Pelodiscus sinensis: one gene and its partners. The protein of the gene in region 4 purifies or fractionates together with the protein of the main gene of each other region. This does not show direct contact. Links are inferred from orthologs where the notes say so. Each region holds a gene or a part of one and is shown on either strand. Other genes may lie near its edges. The genes, in order: SUGT1, WDR48, NHERF2 and PHLPP1.

Region 1 (7,795 bases), on a different chromosome or scaffold from region 4:
GACCCAATTGCGCGTGTTTTTCCTTTAATTATAAAAGCAGAAATCTCATCAATAGCAAGTGGATCAAGAGTCCTTTGGCAGAATTTAAACCAGCCAGTACCATGCATAAAATACGCTAGCTCTTTGCTGGTTATTTTGTCACTTCTGCTATGGACTCCCAGTATTTAAAAAAAAAAATTTGTTCTTGTTTTTTTAACTACCTATAGTACCTCAACATGGAACAGTATTCAGAGGACATGAACACAGAGTAGAACATGTGGCAATGAACTCTTATATTTCAACAAAGAGAGCCAGGAGAAAGGAGGACAGACCAAACACATTACAGAAATAAATAAGAATTTGACCTGGTTACATGAATGCCATCCTGAGACTAAAGTAGCAGCCTTGAAAGCATTTATAACTGTAAGAGGTATTCTCCCACCCTTCCCGGATAAAATGCCTAGGAATGAATACACACACTGAAAAACCTCCAGCATCTACAAGATGTAACAGTCTGATTGCTTAGCTATATGTTTCTGTAGCTATATATTTCTGAACCAATCACCCTGGTCCTTCGTGCCCCATACTCAAAAGACAGTCAATAGAAACTACAATTCAGTGTGCCTGTACTGACACTCAAAGCCCTCTAGCAACTTGCGAAATTGCCTCTTTCTACATCTACTTGACTTCCCATTTAAGGATGTTAAATTCAGATTAATCAACTAATAGAATAATCAACGTAACTTGCAACGATTATTCGATAACGGTGCTTCTACCTTTGAAACGTAGAATTGAGATGTCAAAAGCAAAAGTGCTTTGGAGAACCTGGAGCGAGCTGAGGACTCAAACAGTCCCCACTGGCCACTGATCCCCGCTCCCAGCCACACTTTGCTTTTGAAACCTTTCAAAAGTGGAAGTGCTGCCAGTTCCCCACTGCACTCCTGTCCCTTCTCCCTACAGATACAGCGCTGAGGTGAACCAGCTTTTAAGAAAATTCCTTCCAGCAATGGATCCTGCTTCCCCCCCCCCCCCCCCCCCTGCCTCTCTCTGATAGAGGGAGCAAGCGGGAGGGGACAGGGGACAACTGCTTACATCCCTACTTCCCATAGCAGGTACAGTCGACTCTTAAGAGTGTGTCTACACTGCAGGGCTTAATTGAAATAAGGTACGCAAATTGAGATGTCAATTGCATATTTTATGTCGAAATAGCTTATTCCAAAATAGGGAGCACCTACACAGCACTTATTCTGAAATAGAGCACTATTCTGCCGACTTCCCTTACTCCTTGTACAATGAGGGTTACAGGAGATAGAGTAAGAAGGCTTCCAGCTTGACAGTACTTTGACACTATTTCAAAATAACTGCCTGTTGTGAAGATGTGGGCTAAGTTATTTTGGAATAGCACTAGTTATTTCAAAATAATGTTGCAGTGTAGATGTACCCTAATTCTGAAAGTGTAGATCAGAAGTAGGAGACTTACAAGCACTGCAGATCTTCCACACAAAGAAAAAAAGTCATGGACTACAGAAAATCTACAAGAGTGACAAGATTTTCAAAACTAAATTCAAAATATACTCCTTTGACATGGCTCTCTCCTCAATATGTTCCTCACAAGTGACAAAATTATCTGCATAAATATAACAAAATTAACTAATTATACCATTTCTCTAAGAGGCTCAGGACAGAGACAGTTATTTGCTTTCAAATGCTTTTGAGTAGTTATTCAGTTAATATAGACTCCTTTGCTATACAAGTATCTAAATTAAAAGAGGCAGCCTTGTGACAACCAAGGAAATACATGATTAGCATCTGGAGTAAAAATATTCATCTTACTGTGTAGACACATGAACAACATTACTAGTTACAAATTTGGACCTAGATCTTTGCACATCTTACATTTATATAGTAATGTGAGTAATCCCACTCCAAAGGAACTGTGTAATTTATGCACATGTTAAAGTGTAAGCAGACATGGAGCTTTGGATAATAGATGCCAGATGCTCCTTTCACTCTAATATATGCTTATAACTAAAATATATACAGAAGATGTATAAAACTTTTATTGCCAGTGGTAACTAGGCATAACTGTTTCGAAACAGTGCGCTTCCAAAACCTGAAATCTATTCCTTTACTGCCTAATACGCATCTATCCTCTCGTCAGAAAATCATTTCTTCCAAAATAACCTAATGCAAATATCTCCTTTCAAATAAGTGGTGATGGTGTAGACTAAAAGTAACTAAAAACTATTATAGTCATGCATAAAACGTATAAAACTCCATCGCTCTGTCACGCTGCATCCTTTGCTGCCAACCACACCTCATCTGTACGCCATTTAAACTGCAGTCTACTGAGACTTGGGATCTGGTTTTATCATTGCTTATAATACACTTAGCACACATAGTTGGCACCTTATAAAAATGCTAGTGCTGAAAATAGCTTTTGGGGCACTCTCCCATAACAAACAACCCTCTGAAGAAACACTGTGGTCTAGCAATAGAGGGAAAACGAGGTCACGAAATTTAGATTCTTATTCCAGCCCCAACACTAACTCGGCGAGGCTGCTGGAGAGTCGTTTGGGCACTGCCTGCCTCAGTTTCCCAAACTCTATGACATGTCTACGTTGCAGGCACTCTGGGGCTGGGTGCGTTAGCTCCCAAAGTGGGCGGAGGGTTTCTCACGGGAGCTGTAACAGAGACGCGAACTTGAATCTGCACCGGCATTAGTGTCATTTAAGCAGAAAAAGTCCAGGGAACGGAACTACTGAACTGCGCCCAGCGCGCCGCACCTCGGAGCCACATGGCCGAGCGCCCGGCCGGGGCTGCGGCTCGGGTCCAACCTGCGCTTCCACCCGCTGAGACACGGGCAGACCCAGAGGGGCCGAACACGCTGCCCCGCCCCGCGAGTCCCTCTCACTCACCCGCCCGCCCTCCCGCCTGGCCTCTCACCTGCGCCGCCGCCCCCGGGTCCTGCTCGATGTCTTCGTCCGGGAACCTGGCGAGGGAACAACACAGCAGCGCGGTTAGAGGCGGCTGCGGCCAAGGCCGCGAAACGTGGCGGGGGAGAAAGACTCACCGCGGACGGGCCGGGTCCAAGGCCGCCGCCATCCTGCCGCCGCCGCCGCCGCCGCCTCCACCAGCGGCCTTCGCGATCTGAGCAACAACAAACCCGCCCAAGGGGGAACCAGCGGCGCGCGTTCACGCAGGGGCTGATGGGACTCAAGGTTGGGGTGACGTCACGCCCGTTCCTCCAGTAACTGCCGCGGAGGGGGGGGCACGTGACGAAGCCGACGCGCTCGGCACCCGCCCGCCGCCTTACGTTGGTAGCCAGCACGCGGGGGAGAACGCCCTGTTGGTAAAACACCTCCCCCGCGCGGGAGGCGGCACATCCCGCTCCTGCCCCTCCCCGCCGTGGCTGGCATGGCAACGGAACGGGCCTCCGCGGGGCCTACCCAGGCCTTTCCCGCCGCTCTCGAAAAGCGGGCCAGGACCAATGTTCCTTCTCGTCTTTTCCATCCGTGGGCGCCCTGCGATTGGTTCCATGCGCCACCCGTGGAAACTCAACAGCCTGTTCCCTCTCTCCCTGAGCGGCCTCTGGTCACACACCCCTCACTGGGGAGGGGCACCAGGGCTGACCTAGACCTGCTGGGACCAAGCCCCTTGCTGGGGAGGATGAAGCCTGCCGGTGCAGAGGGGCTTAGACTTTGGCTTTTTCTCTGCCACCCAGGGCAGCAGAGCTTGGCCCAGACTCAGGCTTCAGTTGCCCCCTCTTGGTGTCGGGTAATAAGAGTTGTCCGATGAGCGCTGTGGGGTCATGAAGTTTGAGACGCCGTGGCTTAGCCCAATAGGAGGACTGCCCCCGGCCCGGGCTGGGTTCCTCCACTGAAGCAGGGCCGCCTGAGCTTTCTCTTCCTGAGTCAGCGGGTGCACAGCCCTTGCTTGCTCTTGCCTGATAGTTTAGCAAGCAGCAGCTGTAGAAGTATTTGCTAACTAACCTGCACCACTTGGGCAGCAGCATGCCGGCTTTCCCAGATGAGTGGCTGTAGCTTTTCATACACCCCAGTTCATACTCTTGTCGTTCAGAGGAGCAGTAATTCAGACTCAGGTACTCATTCCACCAAACCGGTTTGAGTCTTCCCTCGGGCAGCAACAGGAGAAAGGCCAGACTGCTGAATAGAAGTACTCATAACTCGGAGATGCTTTGGACAAAATACCTCATATAACCTGGTAATGTTATGATCAGCTGGATCTGTACATCTTATTTTGGGGCAACTATCATTCTCAGGGCTCTACAACTACGCTTATCTACTCACCCCTGGTGAGTAGATTTCAGCCAGTCACCCCATTTGCAGGCGGTCCACGCATGCACAGCGCGAGTCTCGCACATGCACAGTGCGGGGCTGGCGAGTGGTTTTCGCTGGGATCATGGAGCCCTGATCATTCGTATATGTGAAGTTAGAAATAGGAACTATGAGACTTTATCATTTTAAATTGGCCAGTGAGAGTTCCCCCCAAGCCTTAATGATATGATGATCAATTTAATTACTTATAAATAACCTTGTTTGTAAGTTTAAGCAGTGGTTGGTCCTAGGAACAGATGTGACCATACCACCTGGTACTGGGATTCTATTTTGATCCTGGTATTTTTCCATGGGGGGCCAGAACAACAGGTTCCCTCCTTTGGGAAAAGTCTATTTAAGCAATGAGAACTGGAAGCCCTTTATCTTCAGCTGGCCTGGAAAACCCTAAAAAGATACAAAAGGTTGGAGACCCAAGTCAGGGTAAAAGAGTCTCTGACCTGACGATTATGCCTGAAATAAGAACAGCTCTTTAGGGTAAGAATCTGCAGTAAGTTTTTTAGTGAATTAGAATTAGCTATGCAGTTCCTTTTAATTTAGTAACTTAATTTGAGCTGTCTGTTTTCATTTATAACCACTTAAATCCTACTGTTTGTACTTGATGAAAACATTTTACTATCAGGCCTAGAGTAAAGAATCGTTACCTGGAGGGAATGACCAGTGTGCATCTCTCATTGAAAGGGAAGCTGACTATCCTCATGAGCTTTCCTAGTGTAAAACTTTACACAGAGAAAGACAGATTTATTTGGAGTTTTGATCTATTTGGGGTTTGGGTGCTGTGCCCTAGAATTAAATCTCCCAGAGTTAAAGTGGTTCAGTCTCTGCATTCTTTCCAGGAGGGTGGTAACCAAATTCTGTGCCTTGTTTGAGGGAGACCAGAGGATCCAGCACAGCAGGATAGAGTGGTGGGGAGCCCCAAAGAGCAAGAAGGTAATAGTCAGTGGCGTTATCAGCAAACTGGGAAACAGTCCCTAGGGATCTTCTGTGACCACACCCCATCACAATATGGCACTGATATTTGCCAAGTTTTTTCTCAGATTTGTCTGGAGTTAACCAAGGTTGGTACTCATCTAGGGATTGGCTGTTGTCATTGTCCTGCCTGTCATGTTTTCCTGGGGGGTGAAGCCAGGACTTGCCACAGTTGACCTTTCTGCCATGTGGACTAAGGGGAGTATGAGCTATGAGGATGATCAGCTACCCTGAATCTCTGCCTGAGCCCAAAAGCCTGGCAAAGAATCCTAGTTATCTCATATACTAAGTATGGTCCTTGACCTGAGTCAGTGACTGCACAGAGAACTGGGGAAAAGGTCTTGTTTAAGAGGACCAGGATCTGTGAAATTTGTAGGATAGGCCTCAATCCATTTGGAGAATATACTGATCACTGCTAGACAATACCGATTCTCACAGCCAGTGTGAGGGAGAGTTCCAATAAAGTCTGTTTGCATCTAGTACCATAGGTCTTCAGCTTACAATGGGCCTTTTAAATTGTGGCTATCTGTGATTGTTTTCAGCAGAACTGAAGCAGCAGTGGATGTCCATAGCCACATCTTTATTCTAAGTTTGGCCACCAGGCAACATGGACAGTCCTATTCTCTGTCTTGTCTGTGCTAAAGTGACCCTGTTGCTGGACAAGGATTACCATCTCCTTATGGAGGTACAATGGAAGCACCAAGACCAGGAGGGCCCCTTCAAAATTCTTCTATAAGGCTAGGATCAGACATTTATCCTTGAATGTCTCATAGCCCTTGCATTCTTCCTTCTTCAGAAGGCCTTGCACATCTGGGTACCACTGTTGCAACTTCCTGATGTCTACCTAGGCACATAGCTCAATGTCTGGCTTCTGGTTCTTCATCATAGGCAAGGAAGGTGTTAAGGTATACAGATGTTCTTCTCCCAGGAGTGCTGCTGCTTTTGCCTGGTGGTTCAATTTGGAGACCTCAGTGGAATCTTTATGGTGATCTTTTACATAGCATAGGTCTTCCTTGCATTCAAAGCCAGTTACCATGCATGTTTCAGGAATGCTGCATACCTGATAGGCATTCCACTGGTGGACTGCAGACTCCACTGCATCCAGATGAGCATCCATTTTGAGCAGATAGATAGGTGTTTTTTCTCCATCCTCATCATGTAATACTGTTACTCAGCATGCAGCTCATGGCCCCTTTGCATGCAGACTGCGGTGCCTTGAACCACTTCCCGGGCTGCCTGCCTCATTGCTACCGGCTGGCAGAGGGGGTAGGGGAGCTGCAAGAGGCGGCAGGTGCCAGGCAAGCAGATGCTGCTGCACTGCGCAGTGGTGCATGCTGTAATTGGCTGTGGCGGGTTCGTGCGCTCCCCCTCCCCCAGGTACATGCCACGTGAGGTCGCACTGGCTCAGAGTTCCTGCTTGCTCAGTACCGGAGGCGGCCGGTGCCCGGCGGGGAGCGGCCTCCATACCACGCGTCAGACGTGGGCGGGGATGGGGCTTGGGCCTTCTGGCGAGGCTCAGGGGAGGGACTGGGACTGTTCTTGGGGGCAATGGGCCTGGAGGAGGAGCTGGAACTGTTGGGGGGGGAACGCAGCAAGTCCCGGGGGAGGGACTAGGACTGTGTTTGGGGGGGGCGGTGGGTTGTGAGGGAGGCATTCAAGGAACTACAGTAGTGCAATGTTCATTGCTGTGTACATTTATGATGTAATCCAAATGAAATGAACCTTTATGGTCATTCATTGAACAGGTAAAAACAATTACAATTCCGTTTTTTTAAAAAGCTAATCAAAATTTTCAAGAATATTTTAAATGTGTTTTTTGACCAATTCTAGACATTCATCTTGGAGAAAAAACTAAAAATGAATCATTGGTATTTCTCAAGAACCAAAAGTTTATATCTTAAATATGAAGATATGCAATTTAAACTTTAAGAACTTTTCTCATATGCCCAATATTTTGTTTGTTTAGTTTGGTAATAAGCAAAGACATGTGCAATCAAAAATATACTAATGCCCCAATGTCATATCTGCAAATGTAACAGAATACAAAGAACTGATATAAATGCAATGATACACAAATTGTTTAAATCTACCAAAAATGCTCCTCAAAAGCTTGATGTTCCTGATTCAACAGAAATACAGATTTTTAGATAATTCAATAATCCTTCAGATGACTGAAACAAAAAGTACAATATGAAGTGGAAGGGTCAACAAATGAATTTCAAAACGCTATCAGAAACATCCATTTGACACATGGTGGACAGTTTTAGCAGTGGACTGAGTAATTCTTCCCAGGAACTTCCAGTGTAGCAATGAGCAACCTAGGCTAGTGAGTGATCTGCAGGAGTAGGCCTTCATCTCAGTGGGCCGCAAGATTGTTGTAACCAAGACAGTCTTCCAGGATAGGGTAGTTTTGTTAACTGTGCTTGTGTACCAAGAATTTGCAGGTTGTGCTGACAGAAGCAGCGCTTTGATTGGATGTAAAGGGAGCGCAC
Region 2 (7,155 bases), about 130 Mb from region 4:
CCTTAGCTCTGAATTTAGTGTGCATGTAACATTCTCTGTTTATTCACAGAATATGTTTTACTAAAGTAGTAGTAATTGCATGCTTCCTGAGTAACACTTCCTCAGCTCTGTTCTTATGAAATGTTATCACTTCATGATTTCATTATGAGTCTCACAATTTCTGTTGTTTTTCTGAAAGCTTCAGCTCTTAGAATCATGAAAAAAAAAATCACACTTTAAAACTTTAAGTTTCTTATTATTAAAAAAGTTTAGCAAATTCTCTCTTTCTCTCACTAGTATTCAGAGAGAAAGCATTCTTTTTTCATCTCTGATCTTGGTTTTTTGGACCTCAGTCATGGTTTCTGAACCCTTTAAGTCAGTGATCTCCAACCTTTTTACACACAAGATCACTTTTTAAATGTCAGGGCAAGCCAAGATCTACACCATCCATTCCTCAAGACCCTACCCTTTCCTTGAGGCCCCACCCTCTCCATCACTTGCTGTCCCCAGTCCTTACTCACTCCCACTGGGTTGAGACAGGAGGTGCAGGCTCTGGGGTAGGAATGAGGGATTAGTGTGTGGGAAGGGGTGAGAGGTGTAAGCTCTGGGAGGGAATTTGGATGCAGGAGGAGTGGAGACTAAGATGCTAGATCGGGGACAGGGCTCCAGACTGGAGACTGTTGGAGTCAGGTGAAGAGTTGGGGTGCTGAGTAAACTGCAGACTTGTGGATATCAGGGTGCAGAAGTTCGGGTTGGGGTTTATGAGGGGCTCAAGGCAGGAGGGTTGCGTGTATGATAGGCTCAGAATTGCAGTGTGTGGATGGTGCAGGACTGTTGTGGCACAAGACTGGGGATGTGGGGGGCTCAGGGCACGGGGTTCAGGTGTATGACCGGCTCCCCTGTGGGCGGGTGCAGGGGTGTTATGATACTGAGGCCAGATGAGGATTTGACCCCAACTGGGAGCTTGCTGGCCAGGCTTCATTTTTAAATAAACTATTATGGCCAACACAAAACATTTCAACATTATCTTTTTTTATGGGAGGGGCAGGGAACATGTTTTGGGTCAGGGGGCCACTGATCCTCAGAAAAATCAGTTGGGGACCACAGAAGTGAGATGCAAAAAAACAACACCTCCAAAAAGCCACAACCCTCACTGATGTGGCCCCAACTAAGATACCTCAGTCTCCTGACACTCCAGCCCCATGGTGGTAATAGCGGTGGGGGGGGGGGGGGGGGAGGACTGAGGTTCAAGGTCCCAGGACAGATTAATTCTTCTGGGGGTCCAGGGTTAGTGAATTTTGTGGGGTCCCCCAAGGCTCTGAGATCGGGCCAAAAATGAGGGATCCAGTGTGTGGGACAGAGCTGCCAGTGAGTGGGGTAGGGATGAGGGTACAGAATCTGGGTGGAAAGTAGGGTACTTGAGCAAGCTGATAGTAGGTGTCTGGCCAGGAAGGAGGAGCTGGAACAGGGTGCTGGCACTACAGGCTGGGGCAGGATGCTGGTGGGTGTCTGGCCAAGGGAGAGGGGTCAAGGGCAGCTTGGCTGGACCTGGGGGTCTCCAGGGATGAGCATCTCTCAGGTAGGATCTGTAGGTAGTGCTAGAAGAAGTGCACGTGCGGCTCCTTTAAAAAAATCCAGCCGCTCTGGGTCCTCCACTGCCATCTTAAACTTCCCCCATGCCTGACTCTGCCTCCCTGGTACACGGGGGAAGGAAGGCAAGACAAGAAAGCACATGCACTGCTGTGGAGTGGGGAGGAGCAGTGTACTTGAGCTTCCTGAGAAGCCGGATCTGGTGCAGAGCTGCGGGAATTCTCTCCTCCTTCCCTTCCACCACAGGAAGCCAACTTTGGCTCCAATTTTGGGAGGGGCAGGAGGCTGTAGCGCCAGCACAAGTGCCTTGTTGTGGGTTGGGGGAAATAAGGGGGCTAGGAACACTGCATTGAAATCAACTGGCAGGGCCTCTGCAATTGACCACTTGATCATGATCAACTAGTTGGTTACCACTGCTTTAAGTTGTCTATGTTAATTATACCCTGAGCTGAAAAAAACCTCCACTTTCAGGGGATGAGAGTAGTCTGTCTGCAGTGGAGGACCCAGTAAACCTATGGTGTCCAACCAGTTCTAAAGCAGTAGCCACTACAGTAAACTAACCACACTCAACTGGCATCCTCTTATCAGTTAAACAGTTAGCCGGGTAAACTGCAACATCTCTAATTTGAACTGACCACCAATGATAGGTTGCTATTTACATCAAGAATCCCCTATACCACCCTGTCTGTACTGACATTTATAATTAAAATGAAATTAAGAACGTTTACACTAGACCAAAGCAAAATGAAGGAACATAATATCCACTGTGCTTCATTTTTACTTTCACTGTTGAGAAAGGTTTGTTTTGCATAGATTTCATCAAAAGGATCCATCCCCAGGAAGATCATCAAAACATTTATCTCTTTCACGCGCACATCAATTCCTCCTCCTCCTCCAAGCAGGATCCTGTATGCCCCAAACATACCAGGCTGAAAAATAGTGTAGACACAATGGGATAACTGAAGCATGTTCTCACTTTAAAAACAGTTCAGGAATTAAAGCTGAGCAAGTACTACGGCCGATTCCATACGAAGAGTCTGACACAGTTAAGGCAGATCCTTATGTCCCTAAGGAAGCACCCACGCTGCCAGAGCCTCAAGGGCCAGTGCTTAGGCACAGGTGGAGCGCAAGGGCAGATTCCGCTGACAAGTACATGGGACGTGTTTTAGTCCCATTTTGCTTCATTATTTTATGTCTAATACTGACAGGCGCCGAGACTCCCAGCGGCCGTGGGCGAGGCTGGGGAGGGTCTCCCCTGGGCTCTCTCCCTGCTCTCAGCACCAGAGAAGTAGCCTGTTCCTCCCCAGGTCCAGCAGCAGCTGCCCCAGGCGACACCCAGGGAAAGAAGTGAGCCCTCGCGACCGACACTAGCCCGGCTCCTCCCCCCGCCCCAGTTCCCTACACCGCCTCCCGCGCTCGCAGTCCCGCTCCTTCACCTGCGGCGCCCCGCCCCCAGCCCAACCGCCCTTCCCAGGTGCTCGCCCGCTCTCGGCCCGCGCCCCCTCTTCCGCGAGCCCCTCAGCCGCGCCACAACCCCGCGCCGGCGGGCAGCCCAGCAGACCTCTCACCTGCACTTTCCGGCGCCCGGCCGCATTCTGTCGGTGATGCGCCGCCATCTTGCATGTTGACACGCCAACGTCATTTCCGAAGAGGGCAAAGCGACCCGGAAGTCCCGCCCCGCCGAACGTTGGACCCGCGCTAGGGCGCTGGGCTGTGGAGGGAGCTCGCGGGAAGCGGGGCAGGGAGTTGGGCCAGACGTCAACCGCCCGACTCCCGCGCGCTCCTCAGGGGGGAGTCTCGCGGACGGGAGAGCGTTAGGCTGCCCCGCCCGACGGAGGGCTCGGATACTCGCCCCTTCAACGTTCCCTGAGGCCTCGTGCCCTTCCCCGCGTGGGCTTGGTGCCTGCATCCCTCTGCCTGCCACGCCCGCTTGCCCCTTCCTCTGTGCCCTCAGGCCCTGCGCCTTCCTGGGACTCGGCCCATCATGGCCGTGCTGCCCCCTCACTGTGCCCTTCACCCCCACCTCCCTTGGTGGTGCCGTGTGGCTGCTTTGTGCCTCCCGTCTCACTACCCTGAGGCCACGTGCCTGCCTCCAGACCTGAGGCTGCCTCCCCTCCCTGTCCCTGACCGTCTTCTCGCAGTGCCCTTTGGCCAAGTTCCCTGCCCCCAGATCCTCAAGGCCACCGTCTCCTCTCCCTGTCTGCTGTCTCTGACAGAAGCAGGGAGCCCACACGAATCCTGTGAGCCTTGCAAATACAGGATGAAAAACTCTCCTGTAATTTGCAAGCCTGCAGGAAGGAACCATACGAATGGGATTTTTGAGGCCCGATACTTGAAGTAGTGAAAAACAATAGAAGGTTGTTGCTGGTGTGTACAAAGCCGCAGGAGATGGCGGGACCATTGTTTCTGGGTTTGGGAGCACTGAGTGGTTCGATCGTGTCATAATGCAGGTTTGGCAGAATTTTCAAATATGAAAGGTGACATTTTTGTATCCGTTTTTCCAAGCTCTCTCTGGCACAGGGATACCAGAATGAGAGAATCACTACAGAGAAGTACGCTAGAAGCTTGCATTGCTGGATTACTAATGGTCGTGGGAAATACTTTTGAAACTGGAAAATCCACAGCAGGTGTCATTTTCATGTGAGTTTGTAGAGGCTTTAACAGGCCTCTCCTGCCCTAGCTCACAACCCTGCACCCACTTATGTACCCCAATTCCCTGCCCTAGGTCACAATCCAACCCCCTGTACCTCAGTCCAGTGCCCCCAGTTACAACTGTCTCCTTCACCCAAACTCCCTTCCTTACCCAAGGTCCCTTTTGCACCTAACCTCCATCCCAGACCATGCACCTCCTCCATTAATATCATGGAAGAATACGTCCCTTGACCACTTTCCAAATTCTTGGAGTGGCCCCATGAAAAATTATTGCCCACCTCTGACTTACGGTATGTCTACACTACAGGGTAAAGCTGGATTAAGATATTCAACTTAAGTTACATTAATTACGTAATTGAAGTTGAAGTACCTTAACTTTTGGCTCTGTCCACACTGCTCTCTTTTACTTCCTGCACTCTCCCTTCAACTTCCCTTACTCCTTGAGGAAGCAAAACTACCAGCATCGACCAGAGCACCTCTTTCAGTTGGAATTAGCATATCTTCACTAGATCCACTAATTCGAACCCTAGAGGATAGACAGCAGCAGCTGTCATACCCTAAGGGTTCGTCTACACTGGCCCTTTTTCCGAAAGGGGCATGCTAATTTCACAGGTCGTAATAGGGAAATGCGCGGGGGATTTAAATATCCCCCGCGGCATTTAAATAAAAATGTCCGCCGCTTTTTTCCGGCTTTTAGAAAAGCCGGAAAAGAGCGTCTACACTGGCCCCGATCCTCCGGAAAAAAGCCCTTTTCCGGAGGATCTCTTATTCCTACTTCGAAGTATAAGAATAAGAGATCCTCCGGAAAAGGGCTTTTTTCCGGAGGATCGGGGCCAGTGTAGACGCTCTTTTCCGGCTTTTCTAAAAGCCGGAAAAAAGCGGCGGACATTTTTATTTAAATGCCGCGGGGGATATTTAAATCCCCCGCGCATTTCCCTATTACGACCTGTGAAATTAGCATGCCCCTTTCGGAAAAGGGGCCAGTGTAGACGTAGCCTTAGAGTGCACTTAATTTTGGAGTATGCCCCATTGAACTCACTGACATTTCTGATTTTTAAGAAAGCAAGTATTAGATGGGGTTCCCTTGGGAAAGCTTAGTTTTGCTGAAGTAAAATAGAAAATAGACTTACAACATCGCCATTATGGTCTGTGGCCGTAATGTTCCAAATTATGGGGAATGTGTTAGGTAATATAAAATAAGAAAATTGCGCTCAGTTTCTACTGACAACTCTAGATTTCTTTTGCTGCATTTTTCTGTACTGCCTACTTGAGGGATACATTTTTCACTACATGGTTAACTAATTAAACAAGCCATAAAGATTAGCTAAGCTAAACTTTTTTTGTAGCAATGTCCAACATAGCAAACAGCTTGGGAATTACTTGTTAAATCACACACTGGCATAGCAGGAGTATTGAAGAGTGATGTGTTGCAAAGTGAGTTATTTAAATTATTAACCAGTTGATCAACATTGTTCTTCATCCACATTATTTTCTCCCAGTTAGTAGTTTTCCGCATGATGTTTCATTCTTGTAAGGGGGCCCTGCATCTCCTTGCACTGCTGACATTTGACACATTTTTTCTTTTTTGTTCAGAGAAGGAATAACTTCAAAATATTCCCAGACAGGGTTTCTCTTATGCCATGACAGTTTTTCTTTTTTACATTCCTAATGCATAGCACAAACTGTAATAACTAACACTTATATGCATCTTTCATAACATAATATAAAAAAAAGATGTAGAAATTGATGTATTCTAGAGCCACAGACTCTGCCATATTGCAGACATGTATTTCTGAACTAGATGTTGGTTTCTGTTTTTCTATCAGTTATATGTAGTTGCATCTGGTTATCAAAGTGCCAAGTTCCTTGCCTTAAGCAATTCCTCTATCTTTGTCAGCCCTGAGCTATATGTTACCATGAATTACATTTCCCCACATTAGCCTTGAGGATATCTCTGTAGTGATTTTTCTGACCTCCTCTAGCATGTTTGCCGTGGCTGAGTTGAAAATAGAAAACTTCTTCAGGAATCCAAACACAATGACTTGCCAGTGAAGTTGATGATAGATAATTATTGCCTTGATACTTGTGATATCTGCTTGTGGGAGGATATTAATGTTAATACATCTAACAGCCCATTTAATTTGAATAATCATTTGCATACAGTGTGATGATACTTCTCTAAAGCCTTAAGATGTTCCCTATGTTGTCCATGTTTCAGCCCTTTACAACATGATGGGGATTACAACAGCTTTGTAAATCATAAGTCTGGTTTTAATTCTGATGTTGCAACCTTCGACCACTCTTATTCTCAGATGACCAGATGCTCAACTAGCACATTTGAGCTGATCCTGGATTTCTTTTTCAATGTCAGCTGCCTGTGAGAGTGGCTTCCAAGAATGGGAATACGCAATGGTCTCTAGAAGGTTATCATGTATTTCTGGTGCTGGCAGTTGTGCAGTAGAAGCTTGCTGATAGAGGACCTTTTTCTACTGTATGCTGAGAGTCTGATATGCATCAGCAAAGCCAAATGAGCCCACTCTATAATATTGTCAGCATATTGAAGCTCAGCCACTAAGGTTGGTGATGTTTTGGTTCTGGATTGGAAGCAGTCCAGGTTGAACAGCTTACCATCTTGCCAGTTATCAAATAGAGCATCACAGTGAGGAAGGTGGAGAAGAGCGTCAGGGCAGTGAAACAACCCCTGTTAAATGCCTGTCTTTGCCATAAAAAGATCTGTTGCTTCCATGTCATTGTGAAAGAGATGAAGAATGGTGACAAATTTTGGTGGACATCCATAGGTCAGAAGGATTTTTCCACAGTGCTTCTCTGTTGGAGTCAAAAGCTTTTGTCAGGCCAGTGAATGCAAGATGCATCTATGTTTTTCTCTACATTTTTCCTGCATCTGGCAAGCAGTAAAGATCGTGTCGGTAGTGC
Region 3 (8,014 bases), on a different chromosome or scaffold from region 4:
ACAGGTTGACTGTGTGTTATGCTCAGACCCCTAGAATCCTAAGAATGGAAGGGACCTCAAGTGGACATCTAGTCCAGTCCCCTGCACTCAAGGCTGGAGTGTTATCTAGACAGGTTTCTGTCTAACGCTCTTAAAAATCTCCAGTGATGGAGATTCCACGGCCTCCCTGAGCAATTTATTCCAGTGCTTCACCACCCTGACACTCAGGAAGCTTTTAGTGTCCAACCTAAATCTTCCTTGCTGCAATTTAAGCCCACTGCTTCTTGCCCTGTCCTCAGAAGCTACTTTCTGCTGGAACGTGTGCCCTGACAACGCAATGGCTGACTACGTAACAGCAACGTCCTGCCAATGTCATCGCATCCTTTGGTCTTTCCTACCTGGCCAATGCAGACAAGGCCAACCACTGTCATTGTTGAAAGTTATCTGGTGCCGCAGCATGGTAAGACAACATCCCTGCATGGGGAAGGCCTGGAATAGTGCGGGAACCTATTTATAGTGCGGGAACCTGTAGTATCTACCGCTGCTTCCTTGCCAAAGGGAAGCTTTTAAACAAACATTCACAGAGAGGATCACCCTGCTAGCTCTCTTTCACCTTTCGTACGCTCTCGCCACCAACACCACCAGAGGAGCCGGGAATCCTGGCAGCAGGGCAAATGAAGGCTGTTTCGGGCATACGTAAATAGTTCTGCTCGGCTACAGCCAACAAGCTGAAAAAGCACTCCATGTGCGGACACAAGAAGCGACTCAGCAGGCTTAGCGTGCTGGTTCCTGCCCCAACAAGGATCTTATTCCCCATAAACTGCTTGTCTCCCAGCGGATTACCCTGCTGGCCTGGAGGTTCAGGAACCATCACCCAAAAAGAGACGCACACTTTCCATCACGCTGGTTTCACTTGGACACGCGCCTGGAGAATCCAGCAGAGAAGCAGCTCAGGGGAAGCGACTCAGTCGGATTGTGAGTGCACGCAGCTTTGGCGACCAAACTGAACGCGGACAGATCCCCGGAAGGAAAATAGCACACGGTGGCCCAATGGGGAGCGGCTGGCGGGGGGGCTCTACAGAACGTGGGGTTTTATGGATGAACAAAAAGGGCTTCTTGCCAGCCTGGACACAGCAATAGGAAATACACTGTAGAGAGCATCCTGCCCTGGCCAGGCTGGGCTTGATGCGACTTGCTAGGACTTTCCTGACTCTCACCTCTCGGAATATAAAACCAAAGAAGTGGGCACAAGCACAGCAGGGAGCATGTGAAGCCCAGGAATTAGAGGAAACAAGTGAATGACCCAAGCCGAGGGCACCTCTTTCCACTGGCAGGAGACACGGACACAGCAGATGACAAGGTTTTCCATGTCACTCTGGTTTCCCTGCTCTCAACCTCCAGATGAAACCCGCTAGCCAACAACCGGACTGCCCACCCCAGGATGGACTGTCACCTGGCGGGACTTCTTCTAGCTCTAGAGTCAGACTGTAGGGATGTTAAATGCCGGTTAATTTAACAGTCAATTCAACTCATGAATTCTTATCGGTTACTCCGTTATTCTATAGTCCTTGGGGATGGGGCTGGCAGCCAGCACGCTCCAGCCCCACTCCCAAGGAGCCCCCCCGTCACATGCCAGACAGGGGCTTGTCCGTGAGGGGAGCCAGTTTATGAGGCTGGTCCACGAGGGGAGCACCCTGTCCAGAGGGAGGGCTGAGCTCCCAGACCCGGCACGAGCTGGAACTGAGCCGGGCTGCCTGTCCACCTGGCTCCTACTACACTTTAAATGCAGAGCTGCAGCGGGGGTAGGTCCCGGACCTGGCATGAGCCAGGCTGCTGGCCAGCCTGCTAAAAACTGTACTGGTGGGGGTGGAGGGGAGAATGCGGGTAGTCGATAGCATTGACCTAGAAGCTTTTGCTTATTGGTTAATCAGTTAATCGACTGCACTATTACATCCTTATCAGACTGACCTTCCATCCAGACAGCCCCCTTCTCCAGCGCTCAACTGGGCACAGATAGACAGACTAAGGACACCTTCTGTCCCAGCACAGACAGACGGACGACGGTTCCAGGGTGCCACCTCTCCACTAGCATGGGCTGACTGTTCCTGGGCGCCCGCTGCCCCAGTGCCCACAGACAGACAGACATTCCCCGGGCAACTCCCCAGTGCAGACAGACAGCCCCCGGGCCCCCCAGCTCCAACACAGGCAGACAGACAAACCGGCCCCTGGCACCCTACTCCCCAGCGCTCATGGACGGACAGACAGACATTCCCGGGCGCACACACCTCCACCCCAGTACAGACAGACAAACCGTCCCCCGGCGCCTTATGCCCCATCGCCCACGTACAGACAGACAGACGGTCCCCAGCACACCCCCTCCTGCCCCAGTACAGACTGACCGACCCTCCCCGGGCCCCCCCGCCCGGCCCCCCCGGCAGCCCTGCCCACCTGGTGGTGCGTCTCCTTCTCCACGTTGACCCCGTTCACCTCCACCACCCGGTCCCCAGCGCGCAGCGCCGCCGCCTCGGCCGGGGAGCCGGGCTCCACTTTGCGGATGAACTGGCCGCTCTTGCCCTTCTCGCCGTGCAGGTGGAAGCCGTAGCCGCTCTCCCCCTTGAGCATGTGGCACAGCCGGGGCTTCAGCTGGTCCTTGGCCATGGCTGGGGCCCTGCCGGGGCGAGCGCCCCTCGGGGAACCTGGGTGCCCGGCGCGCAGCGGCCGGAGGCGCCGGGCAGCGGGGTCCCGGCTGGATCAACAAGTGGCGGCAGCTGCCGGGCGCGCCCCCTGCCTGCGCTTCTCCCGGGGCGCCTGGAGAGCCGGGCCCCTTACGCGCAGCGCAGCGTAGAGACAGGAGCCGGGCTGCTGCTGCTGCCGCCGCCAAGCGGGGCCATCCTGCGTCCTGTGCGCCCTGCGCTGCGCCAAACTCCCCCCGTGCGCTCTGCGCCGCGGCGCACCCCCTCGCTGCAGCCCCGCCGCTGCCTGCCTGCCTGCTCCGGCCCGTGCCCGCCGCCGCTACTGGGGCTGCAGCGCCTCCTCCGCGCGGCTCTCCGTGACATTGCAGCCGGGGGAAGAGCTTGGAGGCCAGCTGTGGCCATTGCCCCTCCCCCGAATGCAACCCGGAACCTTCCAGAGCTGGCTGCTGCGGGAATGGGTGTGTGTCTCCTGATTATACACTCGCCCCCGAACAACATAACCCAGCCACAGCCCAGCACATGCAGCTGGCATTGGTGCTATTCCCCCTTCCTTCCCCCCCACACACACACGCATTGTGTAGGACATCTAGGAAGGTCTCACCCCAGGGCGTGTAACATGGAGGCAAGATATGGCCAGGGCCCGGCTGGTCACTGCGTCTTTGAAAGCCACTTTGTGGGGGATGGTTCCTTGCAGCCCTTTGCCAGGCATAGATGTGCCATCCAGAACCGGTTAAACCAGTCCAAGCGGGACGCCCAAATGCACGCCCAGGGAGGAAATCGAACATACGGGCAAGCACAGCGCAGTGAGTTCCCAGTGCAAAGAATGGGAGCACAAGTCCTCACACTGGTGGTAAATAAGAAAATAAAATAATGGGTTTGTAGGGTGATTCCCCATGGACGTTAGTGGGGGTGGTTGAATCAGGCCTTAAAAAAATCCTTTTGGCCAGATACTAAGAGGATCTCTTGGCCCCGGCTCATTTATTTGTCTTGTCACTGAGGTAGGACAGCTGACCTTATAGCACGCTGACGTCCTCTAAACATCTATTAATTTGAGGGCAGTTACCGCCCAATCACCTTGGAGGAACATAAGAACGGCCGTACTGGGTCAGACCAAAGGTCCATCTAGCGCAGTAGCCTGTCTGCTGACAGTGGCCAGCACCAGGTGCCCCAGAGAGGGTGGACCAAAGACAATGATCAGCGATTTGTCTTCTGCCATCCCTCTCCAGCCTCTGACAAACAGAGGCCAAGGACACCATTTTATCCCCTGGCTAATAGCCTTTTATGGACCTAACCTCCATGAATTTATCCAGCTTCTCTTTAAACTCTATTATAGTCCTAGCCTTCACCGCCTTCTCTGGCAAGGAGTTCCACAGGTTGACTACATGCTGTGTGAAGAACTTTCTTTTTATTACTTTTAAACCTGCTCCCCATTAACTTCATTTGGTGTCCTCTAGTTCTTCTATTTAGGGAACTAATAAATAACTTTTCTTTATCGGCCCTCTCCACACCACCCAGGAAGAGGCCTGGGATATCACACTGATGGGGTGTAGCAGGGGAAAGGTAGAGCGATGCCTAGAGGGGGGGAAGTTTCTCTCTAGGAATACATTACATTAGTATTCTGGCTCAAGGCTGCCAATGCAGATCCCTTATCTCACTTCAGATCTTGTGGTAACTTTCCAAGGAAATAATGTGGCAACGAATCGCATTCTGCTCAGCCCTGCGGTAGGTGCGTAATGGCCTGAGGTCAGGGGTGGGCAAGACAGCCTCTGCGGGCCAGATCCAGCCAGCCTCCATGGGCCAGATCCAGCCCGCCAAGCTGGTTGATCCGGTCGGCAGCCGCCCTGCCGCTCCCAGGCCAATGGAAACCCGGGGACAGGGGAGTACGTGAAATCTCCTTCCCCCGCCAGACGCACACAGCCCCAGAGGGAACCACTAGCTGGCCAAAACAGTTCCCTCTAGGCACCGTGTGCCCCTGGCAGGGTGGGGGCAGGAGGCGAGAGACTTCCCATGCTCCCATGCACCTAAGCCCTGATTGGCCTGGGGGCGAGGGAGCATGCAAAGTCTCCCTCCACCCACAGCACCTAGTGTGAACGACCAGCTGTTCAGCTGGCAGTTTTCTCTAGGCACCGAGTGGAAAGGGGGGGGATGACTTCCCAGGCCAATCAAGGTCTGTGGGCAGGGGAACCTGGGAAGTCTGGCCCCGCCCCTTCCACCTGAGGCCCCGCCCCTTCCAGGATGACCCACAACCACTTCAGAAATTTGTGAAGTGCCCCCCCCCTTCAAAAATTATTACCCGCCGCTGCCTTTGGCGAGGTTACCTGTTGCCAGCCGAAAGGAAACAAGGGCAGCTGGTTTCAGTTCCCAAGCCCAGGGATCAGCCCGTCATTGGTCTTTGTGGGAGAATTTTAAGCTGTGAAATGCATCAGACCTCTGGCAGTATGCCAGCTTGCCATCAGACCTGGCTGCTCTGTAATTAGCAGCAGCTATGCAAAACAACAGGTCTCTGCCTGCTTGCACAAAGCCATCGGGTGATGTGGAAGGAGGCCAGAGAGAGTCATAAGAACGGCCACCCTGGGTCTGTCCAAAGGTCCATCCAGCCCAGGCTCCTGATTTCCAGCAGTGGCCAAGGCCAGGTGTCCCAGAGGGAATGAACAGAACAGGGAATCATCACGTGATCCCTCCCCTATCGCCTATTCTCAGCTTCTGACAAAGAGACTTGGGACACCATTCCTGCCCATCCTGGCTAATAGCCATTGACGGACCTAACCTCCATGAACGTATCTAGCTCTATTTTGAACCCTCTTGTAGTCTTGGCCTTCACAACATCCTGTGGCAAGGAGTTCCACCGGTTGACTGTGCCTTGTGTGAAGAAATACTTTCTTTTCTTTGTTTTGCTGCCTATTAATTTTATTTGGTGAATCCTAGTTCCTGTGTAACAAGAAGGAGTGAATACACTTCCTTAGTTACTTTCTCCACACCAGTCACAATTTTATAGACCTCAGTCATATCCCCCTTAGATAGCTCTTTTCCAAGCTGAAAAGTCCCAATCTTATTAATCTCTCCTCAGACGGAAGCCGTTCCATACGCCCCAATCATTTTTGTTGCCCTTTTCTGAAGCTTCTCCAATTCCAATATATCTTTCTTTGAGATGAGGCAACCACATCTGTGTGGGGTATTCAAAATGTGGGGGCTCCTCCATTTGCTGTGTCACATGAGGGCTTCCCTGAGCCTCCCTCGGGCTTGATGATGTGTTGTCATCCAACAACCTGGCTAATACCAGAGCCACAGATTTTGAAACACACCTGCCAGTATGTAATCTTAACCCAGGTCGGGACGTCTCCTAGGAGTACACGTGCAGGAACCTGCCCTGTTTCTAGGCCGCTCCCCTTCCTTGTTTCTACATCAGGGATGACCTTGCCCAAAACACGAGGTACCTTCTTGCAGATCTCGCTTTACTGTTGGCTGCTGGTCCAGGCTGGGTGCAGGTAGCACAGGGAGGAAGAATTTCTTGTGAATTGAGGACTTGGGTCAGGCCCCAATTCAGGAAACTACTTGTTCATGTGCCTAACTCGATCCATATCTGCATGGCTCCACTGACTTCATTCGCTTAAGTTAAGCATCTGCCTAAATAACTTGCTAGATTAGGGCTGACCATTCCTTCCTCCTTTGCATTTAGGAATGGCCCAAGTGCTCACCTGTTCCCTGGCTGCCCCTTTTCTTCTGCCCTGGTAAACTCTCACCTGCAGGGGAGGATTCTACAGCCCACGAGGATTGTTGGGAACACAGGTTTGGTACAGCCTGCGCTGTGATGGGCGGGAAAGGTTCCCATCTTTCTCGAGGAGCTGGAAAAAAGCCTGAAAACATTCCTGCATCCATGACCATCTTAACACCGCATGGAAAGAATTACCTCCCCTCGCAAGCAGCTCTTGCAAAGTGCTTAGCGGTAATACAGGTTGAACCTCTCTAGTCCGGCACCCGGAGGACCTGACCGGTGCCAAACCAGAGAATTTGCTGGACTATGGGAGGTCAGTATTGTCTAGCAGCATTACCTACACTTCCCCTGCTTACTAGGGATGTGAAAGTGTAATCACATGCATCTGGCTCCTAGGAAGCTGCCTCCCCCCTCCGCCCACTGCATCTGTATCAGAGGCAGCAGCATGGCAGGACAGGTGGGAGCTAGTATGCCTGGAGAGCTGGCTTAAAAGTTAGCTCCCCACACACACCGGCTCCCGGGAAGCTGACCGCCACCCTGCATGTAACTGCTGGAATTTTCTGTGGTATCACGATGACTTATACACATTTTGACATCCCTTCTGCTTGCTGGGCTCTTAGAAGACATTTTGGGCTCAATTAGAACTAAAGACCAGCACAGGACACTGAGAGCCAGGATTGGTGGCAGGAAACAAACTTTATGGGACTGTGGGAAACTTGGCCACATCCACAGTAAGTGGACATCCGGCTCACTAAAACCATGCCGGACCACGGAGGTTGCTGAACCAAAGAGGTTCAACCTAAAGCTGGGTTTCAAACACGTTTTACATCCTCCCCCCCCCACACACACACCTACCCTCCGCATCTCCATAAAAAAACAAACCACACCCACCCACTGCAATTGCTACCTTTACTGAATTGAATATAACGGCACCACAATGAATGGGCCAGAGCCCAGCTGGAGTTCTGCATTTTAATTTCTAGGGGCTCGGATATGGATAAATATTTAAGTTCTGCATGAGGTGGGGAAGTTCACGGTAGATGTATGCTATTTGGCTCAGCAGAATTTGGAACCTGTTTTATTTGACATCTGCTTCAAAGCAAACAGGTTTATTTATAATTCATGTATCGCAATTCATTAGGCACTTACTTTTACCCATGTGCTAAACTCAGTTTGCACTGCGGTTTAGAATATTGCATAATGAATGCATCAGACATCCAGGATAAAAAGCCTGACACTTTCCAATATCAGAACTCTTGGACAGGCTTTCTACACGATATACAGCTTAGCCCATCGTAAGCGACTACTCCAGGGATCAGCAAAAATCAGTGTGTTCAGTGGTTCCTGAAAAAGGCAGCATAGGAATATATCTCTGAGAGGAGCTAAGGATGGTCTCTTAAGACAGAAGCTTGCTTGAAAAATGTTGACAGTGCAGTGACTGTCTGTTGCCTTCTTTTGATACTCGCTTTGGCAGAAATAAAAGTTCACATAACTCCCTCGCATCCCTGTCCTCCCAAAGAGGTGGAATCAAGAGGACTCAGATGTAGCTCTTCCTAGATTTGCTGTTGTCTTGGGCAAATCACGGAACCTTTCCAAAACTCATCGGTTGGTGAAGTGTAGAGGAAGCAGG
Region 4 (7,479 bases):
AAAGCAGTTGAATTTTAAAGATCCATCTTTACTGCATATCTGTATGCAGCCCTGCCCTCAGCCTCACATTTTAAGAAACAGTTGAAAGCCAAATATTTAAACAATTTCCCTCCCCACCTTTGCCCTAACAGTTGTCAAAGACAGAAGAAAATATATTGGAAAGTCTAACAACTTTAAATGTAGATGCTTAAGTTTTCCTCACTTAAGAGGAGGAAAACTCTTCAACATTGCAGTACTATGTTCATGACCCAAAACATCAGGAGCACTGAATACAATAAAATATTGTGCGTTTTGGATAACAAGAGCTTTTGGTAAAGCTGACTGAGGGTTTTCATAAATCTAGCCACATAAATGATAACAGAGTATCAATCATGGTTATTAGGTGGGGATTTCACCAGCACTGCTCATAAGTCTGTCTAGATGCCTCAGGAGATCTGTAACCTTGGCCCCATGCAGGCAAGTCACCCTTCGGTTCTTGAGGTCATCACAAACTCAGCTCAATGTCTCTAAAGAACGAACCCCCTCATTACTATTATCCATATCTTCCTAATAAGTGGCATTCTCTCTCCCAAAAGGATATCCTCCGTACAATCCTGGGCATAGAATTTGGCAAAGCAAATAAGCGGGAGGAAAGATAATGATCCTAAGATTTTTAGGCCAGAGAGACATGGAGTCTTTTGTACGGCATCGGGCACTTTGGATGCCCTATATAAATACAAGTAAAAAAGACAGGCCTCCCCAACATATCACTGGTGCAATTGTAAGGAATAGTTCACCACTGGTTGATGTGCACCGTTTTAAAAGGAACTCTCCTGGGGATATCTGTTATCCCCTTAGACATTTAACCTCCAAACACACACACAAGTCAGCATCTGTATTTCTAGCCGGCAGAGCTGGCCCTGCACCCAGGTAGCCCTGTTTCACACACACTCCTTGGCTCACCTGCATAGAAGCGAATAAGACAGCCGGTCTCGGAGTCCATGCCCTCCTCCTGCACTCTCCACAGGTCCCGGAAGCCCAGCTGGGAGAGGTAATCGTTCTGGATCTGCAGGGGTTTCTCCTGTGCCTCCAGGCGGCGGCTGGTTTCCCCGTGGAACTGCACGTACAAGGCCGGGGGCAGAGAAGACGAGGCGCCAGCCTCTCCTCCCAAGTGAAACACCTTGGAGCCGGCGGGGGTTGCAGCAGCCATCCCTGCCCCGGGGGGCTCTTCCCCCGCACGCCCTGCCCGCGAAGGGGGATGCACGGAGGGGAATTCGCCCGGCCGATAATGGCTCCTGCCCGGCGCTACACCTGCCTCTTCCCCAGCTGGCGCAGCAGAATCCGCCTCCAGCTCCTCGGAGGACGATGAGCCACCGCTGCTGTAGGGGTCCAGGCGATCGGAGACGCTCTCGGCGCTGGGGCTGAGGCTGAAGCTCTCGGTGTCGGAGCCGGCCAGTCCCAGCTCGCCCAGGAGGGAGGGGCAGGATAGCGGCGGCCCAGCCAGGTACAGCTCGGCGGGCGGCGGCGCCCTGGGACTGAAGTCGGAGGACGAGGGACTCGGCCGAGGATCTGTCCAGCTGTTCTCCCCGGCGCTGCCGCTCAGTGCCAGCCGGCTGGGTCGGGTTATCTCCCCGTTGTCCCCCGGCGATTGCCGGCCCAGCCCGTGACGGGTTCCCCGGCGGCTTCTCGGCCTCTCATCTTGCTCTGGCCGCTGCTGCCTTGAAGGCGGGAGGCCGGGAGGCGTCAGGCTGTCCTGGTCTACTGCAGCCACGGTGCCGGAGTAGGTCTCCCCCGGGAACGCTGCTGCTCCCTCCTGGGGCTGCACGCTCGCCTTACCCAACACCCGGACCACACCGGTGCCACCCCTATGGCCAAGCTGCAGCAGCCGGGCCGCCACCTCGGCCGCCGTGGTCTCCAGTGTGCAGAGCACCGGGCGAAGGTAGGACATGTGGCGCTCGTAGACATGGACGCAGCCCCGTTGCAGGTCCCGCCGCACCCAGTCCCGCTCCGGGGGCTGCAGTGGCTGCAACTGCCGGGGCGGCTTCAGCAGCAGCGCTTTCCTATCCAGGCTGCGGGTGCCCAGCGAGGCAGGAGCCGCCGGAGAGGAGGAGGAGGCGGCGACGGCGGCGGCTGCAGAGAGATTCCTCTTCAGCCTCCCCCTTCGCAGCAGCAGGGAGTTAGCGCTGCTGCCCCGGCTAGGAGCAGCCCGAGTCCCGTTGCCCACCAGCGCAGAATGGGGAGCGAAGCCCCCTCCGGCCCCCCGCCTCCTCCCCGGCCCCCCGGCTACTTTGCCTTCTAGATGCCCGGCCTCGGCGCCGCCCGATTGCTCCACGCTGGTCTCGGTGCCCGGCGTTACCCGGCTCCTCTCGCCCGGGGAGGTGCTCTGTTGCTCCCCGCTGCTGCTCCGCGCCGCCACCGGGGCTTCTCTCGCTCGCTGCTGCGCGGGCTCCATTGCCCGGGGGTTGGGGATGCCGCCTCCTCCCCGGGGCAGCGCCGCTAGCGCGAGGGGGGCGGGGAACAGAACGGAGCAAGGCGCCGCGTTCCAGAGGCGGATTATGTAGCAATCGGGAGCATTCCGTCGGTCGGTGCCGCCGCGTTCCGTGCCGCGCGTTTGGCTCAGCCGCGCTCCACAGCTGTCGCGAGCGCCATTAGGGACAGAGAGAGGAGCCGCCTTCCCCCCTCCCCTACCCTCCTCGGAGCCTCATGAATATTAAGTAACCCCGACCTTCTATTTACAATAGCATCCAGGGAGGAGCGGAGGGGGTGGGCTCATGCATACTCGACCCAGGTTGACGCCATCCCTGGCGCGCTGGGGCGGGGCTCCGATGACAAAATTCAAGGTGACGGCAGGGGGCGAGCGAGGCACTCTGGGAAATGGAGTCCGCGGCCAGCTCCCATCGGCCATACACCCACACACGGACTACAAATCCCAGCAGCCCTCTGCTCCTTTCTTCCTCCGACGGGAGGTTCCCGCCTTCTTGTCCCCCGCCGCGCGCCCGGTCCGCCCGCCCCTGCTCCTGGGACTGCCCCAAGGCAGGGCCGGGGTCCCTGTCTCAGATGCCGCGACTGCAGCGTGCCCGGAGCTCGGGCCCCGCCTGCCCTCCCGCGGCGCCCGGCCCAGCCCCAGCCCGGGCGGGTCCCCTGCAGCTGGCAGCCGCCCGGACCCAGTCACCCTCGCGTCCTCCCAGCGGATTTCAGTCCAGCCTGAAGTTCGCCACAATTTTTGATTAGAGCAGCGGCCCACGGCCTGCTCAGCGTCATGGGCCTGGCTGCCTTCCTTTCCAGTCGGCAAAATCACTGTAACGTCTCTTCCTCCAGATGCACTGCGCGCAGATCAGCGTAGTCTCAGATACTGCCCTGAACTTTAAAAACGCAAATAAAGACGAGACTAGCTAGAACTCCCCAGGGAACACCAGCAGTCACTTGCCATTCACCACCGCCGCTTCACCTTGCATCGTTACTTTTAAAATCTAGGGAGGACTTTTCCTTTTACCCCATGATTGTGTTTTATCTGGAGCTTTCTAACCCGGCTGTTCTGGGGAACCTGTGAGACCCAAGGCACTGATAATGAAATCTATGTGCACAGGCCTGCCACTGTAGAGGGTACAGAGGCTGGGGCAGTTGGAGCTCCAGGCAGTGTAATCTGGAAGGGGCTGAAGGGGGATCCTTTTTCAGGAGATGCGGAGGACTGGCTGCCCCAGCTCCACCCTTTCCAGCCAAGCCCCCACCACTTCTCAGACTGAGGAGTTGGCACTCTCCTACCTTGCCTAGTTGAACAGCTCCCTTGTATATGCACCTCCTTCTATTAGTTTTAAATGGGGTTGCTGACTTTTCTACTCACACAAAACCAAACACTCTTGCCTGGCTCCTGCCCTGAGGCCACACCCTGCCCACTTATTCTATCCCCCATCTGTCACTCTCCCCACCCTGTCTCATTTACAGCCGCTCCCCCAGTTGCAAACGGTCGAGTTACGACGGTTCGCACTTACGACCAAAGCGCCCATGGAGCGGTCGTAAAGGCGTCCCTGAGTTACGAACACAACCCACGCTTACAAACAGCGCTGTCGCGTGTAACTCAATGGGGTCCGAGTTACAAATGGATCGAGTTACGGCCAAGTGTTTGGTCCGTAACTCATTCATAACTCAGGGAGAGGCTGTACACCATGCTGGTGTAACCCACACACGGGGGCTATATCTACACTGTAGGCTTTAAATCCCGGGCTTCATGTGCAAGTTCGAATGCCTACATTAGCCACCCTAGTTCTAACTAGGGTGGCAGTGTAGACATACCCTTAGAAAGTAATCACCAGCTAATAGCTTCTTCAGGACCCATGTGAAACAATCTTACAATTCGATTTAGCATATCTCCATAAATTTAAAAAATCTGAAATGGCAATCCTGTTTACTGTTTCAGTGAAGAGGCCAACAAATTATTAAGAGTCTGAGATACCATCTTCTTCAGAACCAGAATGGAGAAACAGGCATACATTGTGAACAAATCTTGTACAGCTGATCTATTTGGTACACACAAAAGCAGTTGTTGGTCTGGAAACCATTGCAAGCACTGAAAGCGAAAATATTTTGTTTTAAAAAATGCTCAATAGCAAGAATGATGCTGCAAAATTGTCCAAAAAGGTCATTCAAAATAAAATAATGGATTAAAATTGTAAATATCTGGTAAATATATACAACTATGTGAAACCATGCATTTTAATATTGTAGGGTCACAATCCCATATTTATTTAGGCAAAACTGCTCCTGCAGTCAGGGGGGAGTTTTAGCTGAGTAGCATGCCCAGGACCAGCTTCTAATTGCTTGAAATCTGTCCCATTTGGTACATTTTGTAAAGCTGCAGTAAAATGTTTTGCCAAATATTTGTAAAAAATGTTACAGGCTGCACTAAACTAATTGCTTTTGGCAATTAACCAAGTAGCTAACATTTAGGGAGAAAAACAAATCTTCACCACTAAGAACTCTACGATGATATCAATAAAGCAACACTGACTATGAGGCCTATTCTAAAACTTGTGATTTTTTAAAAACTTATTCATAATGTAAAAAGAAACAATGAAGTTCATCACTCACAACAATGGCAGGCTATGTCAATTTGTACATTATTATACTCATCTTTATCCTGGAAAGTGTGCTGCTGTTTTCACAGAAAGCACTCAAGATATTCTTTAAAGAACTTATGATGTAAATATATCTTAATTATTGTATGTGTCTGAAGGATGCTCATACATTTATTTTGACCGGAAGACTGTTGTCTTTTAGAACAGAGTGATCTGTAAATGAACTGCTGTGTTCTGAATCTGCCGTAATCTTGGGTATGTCCTTATGTCTAATTGCTAGCAAAAAGCATCTTTGGAATTCTTTCTAAGCTAGATAGCTAGAATCACATCCAGAACATAAACTAACAGCAGTTGAATGCTGTACACCGCCATTAAAGGCTCAGATTTATGTCCAAAAACTACACTTTGAAAGGGGCAATATGCAGCATAAATGAAGCTAATTCTCCACTTCCTTGCACATTTTTCTTTTGTCAGTTTTGCTGATTTTACACAATTGTGATGCCTCTTAACTAGAGTTACTCCTCATCTGATTTAAGCCAATTAAAGTGAGAGGAGAATCAGGCTTTATTCTTACTATACACAAGATCTAAAATAGTATAAAAATAAATAACAGTTATGGATTCAAATTAGAATATATTTCCTTAATCATCTCTTTTCTCCAAGTTTTTAGGCCCAATAATCTTTGCAGATGGTCTCAGAGGGGTAGCCGTGTTAGTCTGTAACTCTGTACCTAATCTAGATCCCTTGCTCCATTCATCTGAAGAAGTGGGTTATGCCCATGAAAGCCCATGACATTATTTACATTTTTGGTTAGTCTCTGAGGTGCTGCAGGACCATTAAATATTTTTTTTAATTTTTTGCAGATGGTAATAGCATTCTGACTTTTTTGATAGGTGAGGATAAAAGTTTGAGTCCCTGCCTTGCAAAGACAGCACAGCCCCAGTAAAAACTGTCCAATCGGAAGTGCAGCAGGTGTGTGTGGGGGGGGGGGGAGGTGGGATAGCTTGGGGTATAAGGGCAGGGGCACCAACAGCTCTTGTGGGCCCCTGGGCAAGGTGTGGGCAGCGCCAGCTCCGTGCTCCTGGAAGGGGTGGGGCCTTAGGCCAGGGAGGCAGTGCCAGGATCAGCCAGTCCCTGTGCCCCTCCTCCAATCCTCAGAGCTGAGCAGAGCACTGCTCCAGTGGCCAATTAAAAGGCCCAAGACTCTAGCTGCTGCCACTGCCACAGTAGCAGCAGCCAGGAGCCCCAGGCCTCTTTCAATCACCAGGCCCCAAGTCATCTGCCCCTTTTAATCCCCCTCTCCCCCCATGGGCAGGCCTGTATATGGGGTATTTGTCTGGGGAGCCAGAGGAAAAGAGAGAAAGACATAGGAAGCAGGGCAGGATGATCCTGTCTTGATGCAAGCAAGAGGGAAACAAAGTTCCAAAGAGACTGTTGTCACTTAGTATTAAGGCTTTTTAAAAGGAAAGGAATCTTCCAGAAAATCCTTTGCAGACTCAGTTTAAGCTTGTAAATATTTATCTAAAGGGGGAACCACCAGTTTTCTCAAAGAGAACAAATATTAGAATACCCGGAAGTTCAAAATTAAGTATACACTAGAATCCATAACATCCAGCATTAGACAATCCAGTATTAGGTAGTGTGCATATGCATGCCTACCGTCATCCAAACATCCTCAGTTCAGATTCTCAGCTGGTGTGAAATGGCATAGTTCCATTAGCATCTGTGAAGCAATGCTAATTCACATTAGCTGTGAATTCAGCTCATAACTCTGCTCACAGAAATACTCAAATCCATAAATAAAACAAGTCTGTTAACTGAGTAGTGATTGAATATGATACGTTCCCCTTGTTCATAGGCTGACTTTACTTTATTGTGGTACTTAAAATGAGGTGCACCATGCACCCATCTGTCTCACAGCAGCAAACTACCAGGGTCTAGTGGATTAAAGTTAAAGTTGTTTAGGTTACCACTCATAAAATTCACTCAGTTGCAAAAGACAAACACAAGTTCCCTAGCACTATGTGATCTCTGAGGGCAAAGAAGAATCATGCCTGTGGGCTTTCACATTTTTTGAATTTTGATGAGAAAGTGACTGTTCTGACCCTTCATCCCCACACTTCACTTGTATAAAGTCTGATTACTTTGAATTGAGGTGAGGAAGTGAATTTCACCAATTGGGTTTTCCCCATATTTTTTTTTTACTGTAATTTAACTTTGAACATTCAGACTCATGTTTGCACCTTTAGCAAACCATACTGTTCTTCTTAGGGTTTATTTCCCAGTAACTGAGAGAGATTTACAATATTAACTCTCCTCTTAACTGTTTTTAATTGGAATTAGAAATTTAGATCAGGATTAACTGTTGCTATACTGCAATACATTCAAGATTAATCTTTAAAGCTCAGGGCAGGTGAATTCATGTTTT

What was found.
Region 1: the proteins of PHLPP1 (region 4) and SUGT1 purify together in Homo sapiens (affinity purification with mass spectrometry; 5 studies listed by BioGRID and IntAct, with this or other methods). This does not show direct contact. The link is inferred for Pelodiscus sinensis from reciprocal best matches to the Homo sapiens genes PHLPP1 and SUGT1.
Region 2: the proteins of PHLPP1 (region 4) and WDR48 purify together in Homo sapiens (affinity purification with mass spectrometry; 5 studies listed by BioGRID and IntAct, with this or other methods). This does not show direct contact. The link is inferred for Pelodiscus sinensis from reciprocal best matches to the Homo sapiens genes PHLPP1 and WDR48.
Region 3: the proteins of PHLPP1 (region 4) and NHERF2 purify together in Homo sapiens (affinity purification with mass spectrometry; 3 studies listed by BioGRID and IntAct, with this or other methods). This does not show direct contact. The link is inferred for Pelodiscus sinensis from reciprocal best matches to the Homo sapiens genes PHLPP1 and NHERF2.

What each region holds. Positions count from the first base shown.
Region 1 is NC_134711.1:283,823,483-283,831,277, forward strand, and holds the start of SUGT1 (protein SGT1 homolog), read right to left. Parts: upstream 3,171-7,795; 5' UTR 3,085-3,170; coding exon 3,053-3,084; intron 2,972-3,052; coding exon 2,926-2,971; intron 1-2,925. UniProt on the Homo sapiens protein: May play a role in ubiquitination and subsequent proteasomal degradation of target proteins.
Region 2 is NC_134712.1:246,546,568-246,553,722, reverse strand, and holds the start of WDR48 (WD repeat-containing protein 48), read right to left. Parts: upstream 3,288-7,155; 5' UTR 3,186-3,287; coding exon 3,138-3,185; intron 1-3,137. UniProt on the Homo sapiens protein: Regulator of deubiquitinating complexes, which acts as a strong activator of USP1, USP12 and USP46. Enhances the USP1-mediated deubiquitination of FANCD2; USP1 being almost inactive by itself.
Region 3 is NC_134726.1:37,832,070-37,840,083, reverse strand, and holds the start of NHERF2 (Na(+)/H(+) exchange regulatory cofactor NHE-RF2), read right to left. Parts: upstream 3,036-8,014; 5' UTR 2,638-3,035; coding exon 2,428-2,637; intron 1-2,427.
Region 4 is NC_134712.1:118,352,660-118,360,138, forward strand, and holds the start of PHLPP1 (PH domain leucine-rich repeat-containing protein phosphatase 1), read right to left. Parts: upstream 3,121-7,479; 5' UTR 2,432-3,120; coding exon 943-2,431; intron 1-942. UniProt on the Homo sapiens protein: Protein phosphatase involved in regulation of Akt and PKC signaling.